Arabidopsis thaliana: one gene and its partner. The protein of the gene in region 1 interacts with the protein of each later gene in a pairwise test. Each region holds a gene or a part of one and is shown on either strand. Other genes may lie near its edges. The genes, in order: ATC and FD.

Evidence for each region.
Region 2: the proteins of ATC (region 1) and FD interact in a protein complementation assay, tested with the Arabidopsis thaliana proteins (one study listed by BioGRID).

Annotation. Positions count from the first base shown.
Region 1 is NC_003071.7:11,771,172-11,775,526, reverse strand, and holds ATC (centroradiali), read right to left. Parts: upstream 2,341-4,355; 5' UTR 2,111-2,340; coding exon 1,907-2,110; intron 1,554-1,906; coding exon 1,492-1,553; intron 1,374-1,491; coding exon 1,333-1,373; intron 1,239-1,332; coding exon 1,018-1,238; 3' UTR 781-1,017; downstream 1-780. Other genes in the region: AT2G27570 (P-loop containing nucleoside triphosphate hydrolases superfamily protein), read right to left, coding at 1-198. UniProt on the Arabidopsis thaliana protein: May form complexes with phosphorylated ligands by interfering with kinases and their effectors. Can substitute for TERMINAL FLOWER 1 (in vitro).
Region 2 is NC_003075.7:17,002,624-17,007,023, forward strand, and holds FD (Basic-leucine zipper (bZIP) transcription factor family protein), read left to right. Parts: upstream 1-1,898; 5' UTR 1,899-2,122; coding exon 2,123-2,830; coding exon of another isoform or gene 2,831-2,857; exon of another isoform or gene 2,858-2,965; coding exon 2,966-3,043; intron 3,044-3,257; coding exon 3,258-3,329; 3' UTR 3,330-3,685; downstream 3,686-4,400. UniProt on the Arabidopsis thaliana protein: Transcription factor required for the transition to flowering promoted by FT.

The DNA of each region.
Region 1 (4,355 bases):
ATTGGTGTCTTGAGGCTTGAAGTTTTTCTGGAAATTGAGGACAGCTTGGAGAAAGTGGTGAGTATACCAACATCCTTGGTACTTACAAACATTTATCCCAGTGGAATCTTTGTCTGAAGGTAGTGAAGAGATGAGAGTCTTTGTTTCTTCGCTTAAGTCATCGTTTCTCAAGTTGACCGCCATTTTTTTATCATCCATTACCAAAAATTGTGGTTTAGGACAGAAGCGGAATGAGATAAGAGGTCTCAACGAGCCTTCAGCATCTGAAACGGGAGCTTTGGTTCTAAAGCGAACAACACTTTGTAAATCATCATTATGATTGTGTTGTTGCAATACGCAACGTTTTCAATCAACACTTGTTTGTTTATTTGTCAATTGTTAACGTTTTCAATCGACACTTGTTTGTTTATTTGTCAATCGTTATGGACTTATGGTTGCTAGGATTTGTTGTCGTAGTTACGATTTAGTTGTAGAAAATTCGTATTTAACTTTGCGTTATTGACTTATAGTATCTTTTCTGCGTTAAGTAAAAGTATATCAAAACATGAATAAAATAATGAGTTTATAGGATTGATTTTCGATAACTTTATGAAAGTAATCAAAGCCGTCTTAGCTCAGTGGTAGAGCGCGTGGCTTTTAACCACGTGGCCGTGGGTTCGATCCCCACAGACGGCGATCATGGTAATTTGTCCAAACAAATTTTTGGTGCTTGCAGCCACCAATTACTTAAGGACGACTACCATTATACAACTATATCATAATTTTGAAAATAAGGAATATCAGGTATAATTACATTGATAATACTAAAAATTAACATCCATCAATATGAAAATAGACCATGCATGAGATTATAAGCCAAGTTTATTCAGATCACAAACAGTTCATAACAAATACACACATAAATATGATAGGAAAAGCTGTTTCCCGTAACTAAAATATAGAATGCATGGAACAACACATATTGTCCGGGCACAGCCAGAGTTAGTTAGGGCAGCTGCGGCAGCGGTGGAAAGTCATTCAACGGCGTCTAGCGGCGGTCTCACGCTGGCAGTTGAAGAAAACAGCCGCGACGGGGAGGCCAAGATCGTTCTCATGAGCAAACTCTCGAGTGTTGAATTGGTCTCTGTAAGATGGCACAGACACCACACTTCCTCTACGGGTCTGCTTGAACAACAAATACACAAAGCGGTGGATCCCTATGTTTGGCCGAGGCATCTCGTACCCGATTATCTCTTTACCTGTTTTGTATTCTCATATTAAAATCTTTGAACAGAAAATATACGTATATGAAATGTGATTTGTTATATCTAAGGATATATGTATAGGACTTACCAAATGATACATCAGTCGTCCCCGGGATATCGGTAACAATCCTGAGATTAGTCATTGCAAGAAAATGTTATGTATTTTTATTATATGTCTCTTAACATTTTTTATTTGCTTCTTTGGTAAATCTCTAACTTAACAAAATTTGAATGGAACAAAATTTACCAGTGCAAGTGCTCTCTCAGATAAGGATCACTAGGTCCAGGAACATCAGGATCAGTCATAACCTGTTTGAAATATTCGATATATGTGAATACACGTGACACATCCAATATACACAGATAAACATTATATAACACGTATGTATATCTGACACAAACTAGTTCGTTCTGCAAATTAATATTATATATATATAACTGCATAGTAGATAATATAAATAATTAAAATCTTATTTTTGTGTGTTTTACAGAAATATTCAAATAAGTCTAACAGTTAGAGAGGAAAAAAGTTTCTATTTATGGCATAAAGACGGGAAGAAAAAGACATTTAACGAAAAATAAAAATCACCTAGCTAAGTTATTTATGCATTTACTATATATATGATTTATATGACGATATAGGTCAATAAAGCAATGCGTACCAAAGTGAAGAATGATCTCATGTCACCCCCATGAACTTCAACCTTAGGTTTGTATGTAACTACAGAAGGGAAAAGTTCATGGCCATTGTAGACTTGCTTGTCAGAATTATAGGTCACCGTCATTTTCACTGCCTGCAAACAATTGTCCACAACGTCTCCGATCACTCTCCCAACCATAAGCGGGTCTGAGGAAATCCTGGCCATCTCGATTGCTTGGTTAAGAATTTAGACGAAGAAATGAAGAATAAGTGAAAGAAATTAAGGAAATAGTGTTTTGAGTTTGATATGAAAATGTGTGTGTTGGAATGGGGAGAGACAAGCTTGGGCTTGCTTTAGTTCTGCTTTGGGGGATATGTTTGTGTTGATTTGATGAAGCATAAAGTGAGAAGAACATGTATATTTATAGGGTTTAAGAGAAGAAATGGCTGTAATGCATTTGATTTGACGTTTAGATCCAAGGAATTTATTTATTTTCTTGTCAATAAGATGCTTCAGAGAGAATAAAAAAAAAGACGTTTCTTTAATCTAGGATCATACCTTACACAAAAAAATGAGAGTAGTTTTTTTTGGAGAGTTGGGTATTTCTGAACACTAATCAACTATCTGTTGTATTGGCCAAAATAAATTATTTTTGTATACATACGACATGATTCGATAAAAAAATATGTCTTTGAACCCTAGTAAGAATTTAGAAGTTAGCTTTTTTGTTAGGACACAATAAAAGATTGCTTTATAAAATAAAACATAATAATGGGCGTGATGGTAATTCAGTAAAATTATCGTCACTGAAGTCGTCATTTCAAATCTGATACTATTATTTTTTTTATAGTTGTTTTATAGGAAAACTCTTTCCTTTATGAAAATAAAAATTTAATTAGTCAGGTGGATAGATTAAAAACTTTATTTTATACATAAATTTATGTTAGAATGAAAGAACCTGGAAGTGTTATTACGGATTTACGGCCATGTTCTTCTCTAGCCATTATTTAAACAGAATGAACGCATTATAAATGGTGGCGTCGGGAATTTAGCTTTTTCTTTTTCTTTTTTCAGCAGAATTTCTACTTCTAGTACGTTAGGAGAAGTAGAGAACTAATATTTTATATTTATTTAAGAAAGCATCGCCATTCGTCGTAGGACTAGGACTCTAGGAGTATCTTTGCTAGAGAAAAAAGATAGGTGTCTTGTTTTCTTATGTCAATAGGTGGCCAAAGGGAAGACAACCTCGTTTTATCGATAGTTGTTTTCTAGTACCAGCTTAGGAATAATGCAAACTAAGATATTTCTTGCTTAAACCAAATCATTCCCGAAAAAATATCAGTTTTTGTAAAACATCAGTTTTCAGCTCTACAATATAGGTCTCTTCGTCTAGAATTCGATATGAATTTTTGTAGGTATCCTTCTTTAGCACTAACAAGGGAATTTGTGCGTTAAAATTATAATAAACCAATTTCGAACCTATGAGTGGATGAGAAGTGGCAGATTTTCCAATATGGTCCTTAAAAGTTAAAAATTCCTCAATTCCTTTTTGGACAGTATATATATAGAACATATAAATATATGCATACAATTTATTCAATTAACTTAGTCACCAGAGAAATGTTGGAAAAAAGAGATAACCTTTTTTTATTCCATGTGTTAGTGTCGACCATGAATCACAGCTTTGGTTGCTTTTATCGCCCCCTTGTTTTTTAATGTTAAAGAAAGAAAGATACAAATTTCAAGTGTCATTATTCTGTTTAAAATTCTAAACGTCGCTTTTGCAATAAGGGTAATATGAAACTTAATTATTTTCTTAAAAAGTAATAATATTGGAGTATGAGGAAAAGAAATATATTCTCTGTTAGGTGTGTGGATGTATTGCAAAGAATATATCCCAAAACAACTAATATTATTCTTGGACTTACCATTTTTGGAAATGTTAATGTTGGCGACCCACAACCCCAATGCGTTTCCAACACATTCAAAAGCTGACAGTTTGACAAATTGTGAAAGGTCACATCAACTTGACAAAGAGATTCATTTCCTCTGCCACTTTTGAATTATTTATATGTAATTTCTTTCCTTTTCCATAAAAAAAAACTATGAGGTAGAAAAACAAGATCTGGGTTTCCTCTTATAGAAACCCTGATTCCAACCTAACTGTCTTCAGATTACACGTTTCAAGTGTACTTTGCATGTGATCGTGATAATATTTTTAATTATTATTTTTTTATACTTTAGCATATGCTCCCACAACAATCTGTGACACTAACATTAATATTAAAAGCACAACATGTCAATCATATATACGGTCTTATTCGCAAGTCCTGTGATAGAACTTTTCTTCTCAGGTAGAGGAAACCAACCTTTCATTTGTTCCTTGAAACTGAAAAGTAAAAAAACAATCGAAATTAAAGCTCGTCAGTTACATCGTTTAATTAGAGCCGTTATTCGTGACTTATATATT
Region 2 (4,400 bases), on another chromosome or scaffold:
TGATGGAGTTTGGGACAGAGCAATATAGTGCTGACACCTGTCCAATCCCCTGAGACGTGACATGTCACACTCCTTTCTTATACAACTTACAAGTTCTCTGCACAATTTTATGATACAATGGACATTTGAATTCACTCGTTACAGACTATACCCCAACTTTATTTTGAGTTTATTTTGCAAAAATGATTTGAGACTGGGAAAATTTGTTTTATTTTCGTCAATGAATATGCGTAGTGACGTCGATACTAACAAAAGTACTACTCTTTACATTCGAATTTTTGGTGGTTGCGAAACGACAACAAAGATCTATGAAATTTGTGTTTCACATTAAAAACTCAAAATGTATTTTGAAACCCAATGTTTGGAAACATGTAAACAAATTAAAGTCTTTGTACTTTTCACCAACAAATGGAAAATATATATCTTCTAACAAATATGAGTATTTGAGGAGCTTGCATTTTCGATAAACAGCTCCTAATGTAGTACTCTTTGCATGTTCAAAAGATGGGACGTTTCCTTGAGGGCTGATTTCAACATTCAGAGAAAAAAAATTATATACATGTACGGAAATGAATAGTTAATCTTGTTGAATAGAATAAGAGAAGAGGAAAGAAAAACAAATATCGTATGTTATTATAGTTTATATATAATCAACTTGCAATAAAGGAAAAATTTGAAAAGCGTGACTAGATATGCACTTGGAGACTGACTTACATAGTAGATACGATAATCGAATATCTAGATATCTGGATGGTACTCATATTATTTGTTTATTACGTATGATCAAAGATTTATTAATATGTATCATCTTCTACTTGGCTTAATTATTAACTAGTTTAGTATTCGTCTCTAATCTTCAAAACAATCAACATAAATATCTAAACTATATTGGTCATATAAAATCTAATACTTTACTATCCACTTGTAATGTTTGTTTTGTTCAGAGTTGGAGACCCACATAAATTGATTTCCCTATCCGTATTGTAAAACAGACTATTGACACTTTGATCAAATCTCGTTGGATGACATGAACACCAATGATTTGAAGTGGGGAACAATTCAATAGTTAACAATATTTTTGTTATTTAAATGCATTTCAACTATACGGTCGATATTATTTGAAATGTTTGCAACTACATATTTAAGAAAACGTTAAGTGCAAATGACCCGTTCTTAAACACTCCGAATCTCATATAAAATAAAGTTTTTTTGTACTAATCAAACATATAATTTTCAGACTTTTAGTTTTGATAGAAACAAATTACATATACGAACACCCAAGTACTACTTTTTATATTCGATAATATTATTCTATCTTCGTTTAAAATATATTAACCACATCAAGAAAAGAGGAATGAAATATTCTAACGGAATTAATGTTTGCTGCCAAAAACAAAAAAAAAACAGAAGAAATTTTTACATTTGAGTTTATTGGTATAGTAGTTAGGATTTTGTGTTTTATTATATATTTAAACGAATTTATTTAATTATTTCTAATACAGAAAGATGTATATATTCTTATCTACTTTCATTTTGTTTTTAATGTTTTATTTCGTCAATACCCTTAGGGGAAAAAAGTGTATTTTGGCAAATTTTCCTTAAATCTAAGAGCAAGAACAAAAATTAAAGTCACACATGAAAGTTGAAAGTGATCCAAAGGGATTTGATATTAGAAAATAGAAAGTGAGATAAAACCAAAAATAATTTTATATATTTGCCTGGCTTTTTACAAGCATCTCACCCCCACTCACTCTTTACATTTAAGGATGATGAAAAATACTTCACTTTTGAAATAATCAAACACCATTTTTAATCTTTATAATAACTCTGACGTTGAAGACATCAACAAACACCTTTAATTACATATAATAGTTTATGGAATTTCTCTTCTTCTTCTTGAAATATATTATTTAATTGGAAATAGTTCAATCCCTCTGTCTCTTCTTCTGGAGTCTTGGACCCAACCCCATCATTCCAGAAATGACCGGCTAAAGTCAAGAACCTCTCTCTGAGCTCTCACCACTTTCTCTCTCTACTCCCTCTCTGCGTGTAGGATACTACTAGACAATTGACAACCAAAGACTAAAGCTGTGTTGTTGGTTCACTTCTGTTCTCTTTTCCAATGTTGTCATCAGCTAAGCATCAGAGAAACCATAGACTCTCTGCTACAAACAAGAACCAGACTCTCACCAAAGTTTCTTCCATTTCATCCTCATCACCATCGTCTTCTTCTTCATCATCATCAACCTCATCATCATCTCCTTTACCTTCTCAAGACTCTCAAGCCCAGAAGAGATCTCTTGTCACCATGGAAGAAGTTTGGAATGACATCAACCTTGCTTCCATCCACCACCTAAACCGACACAGCCCTCATCCACAACACAACCACGAGCCAAGGTTCAGGGGCCAAAACCACCACAACCAAAACCCTAACTCAATCTTCCAAGATTTTCTCAAAGGATCTTTGAACCAGGAACCAGCACCCACAAGCCAGACCACGGGTTCTGCGCCTAATGGCGATTCCACCACGGTCACTGTTCTTTACAGCTCTCCTTTTCCACCTCCTGCAACTGTTCTGAGCTTGAATTCCGGCGCTGGCTTCGAGTTTCTCGATAACCAAGATCCTCTTGTTACCTCAAACTCTAATCTTCATACCCACCATCACCTCTCAAACGCTCATGCCTTCAACACCTCTTTCGAGGCTCTGGTTCCATCCAGTTCTTTTGGTAAGAAAAGAGGCCAAGATTCCAATGAAGGTTCAGGGAATAGAAGACATAAGCGTATGATCAAGAACAGAGAATCTGCAGCTCGTTCCCGCGCTAGGAAACAGGAATGTGCCTCTCCTCTTCCCTCCTAATCTTCTTCTACTCATGTGTATCAAAAAGGGAAGAAAAGAAATGTGGTTTTGCCATCAAATTGCTTTTGATCTAAAAAAAGGTCTCTTGGTTTTGATTCTCATTTGCAGGCTTATACAAACGAGTTAGAACTTGAAGTTGCTCACTTGCAGGCAGAAAATGCAAGACTCAAGAGACAACAAGATCAGGTAAACAAGCAGAGCCAAGTTCTTAATGTTTTACCCTTTTGTAGCACTCATGTCATTAGATCAATTCCTTGTAGTTTAACCAACTTATAAAAAGAGACAGACAGACAGCCTCTGGAGTATATTTGTTTTACACACTTTTTTGTCCAATGACATTTTGGGTGGTTAGATTCTGATACTTCAGTTGTGTGTTTATTATGTGTGTGTGTGTGTGCAGTTAAAAATGGCTGCAGCAATTCAGCAACCCAAAAAGAACACACTTCAACGGTCTTCCACAGCTCCATTTTGAGAAATCTACAAGTCCTTGTTTCTCTTTTGGGGATTGAGATTGTCTCATGAAGAAGTGAAAAAATGGCAAAAGTTTGTACCCTTTTTTATTAGCTATAAGTATAACTAAGCCTAAAATTGTAGAACTAAGATATTGTAGGGGAAAAAAGAAGATGTAAAACAAAAGACCCGGAAAGAGAAAAGGATCTTTCAATTTCCTAAGGCACAGGAACACCTGTCCTGGGTCCTCTCTTAATGTTCTGTCGTTTTCCTATGCAAACCCTTTTTTCACTTCTGTACTAACTTCTACTTGTATTCTTGTTGTAGTAATGTTCTACTTCCTCTTCTAATACTAGTAAGAAAAAAAACCTTATGTTTTACTGTTTAACCAATTTGGTTCTTAAAAGAAGCAAAGGATCAAATGACCAATAGACAAAACAGTGCTCCACTTAAATGATGACAATACCAGAGAAAAGTGAGAAGGGGACCTATCACTGAACATTTAATTTTCTCCCTATCACATTATCACATAAATATCCAATCCTTTGGCTGTCTACCATACAAGCCAACAACTTGCAATATGATTTTGAAACCTCCAAGCCAATGGGAATTAAGTTCACCACTTTTCGGGTTGGTCAAGAGAGAACATGATAAGTTTCTTATTCAGCATGGTCACTCCCCACGTTTTATTTATATTCATAGTACATAGTATTGTAGCTTTTGCTCTAACTGGTCACCATCAAAAACACTAGGTGTGTTTGTATTCATTTGGTTTATCAAGAGAATAGTTTTTATCTTCTTTTGGCCCAATTTCATTTACCTGACAGTGATAAGTCTTGTTGATCCACTTTTGGTTGTTGATATATTGCTGTGTATTCTTTTAAGCAACCAAAAGTGGACATCAAGAGCTAATATGGTGTAAATATAGTGGACATTAAGATAAAGAAGAATAGTTACCAAAAGTGGGACTATGACTAGAATCTATCCTCACATTATATGGTTACACTTAGAGCCCCTCAAATAGGCATCCAATACTTTAAATCATGCTTCTACTTTCATTCCAGTCAATAAGAATCCTAGACTTCAAGAAACT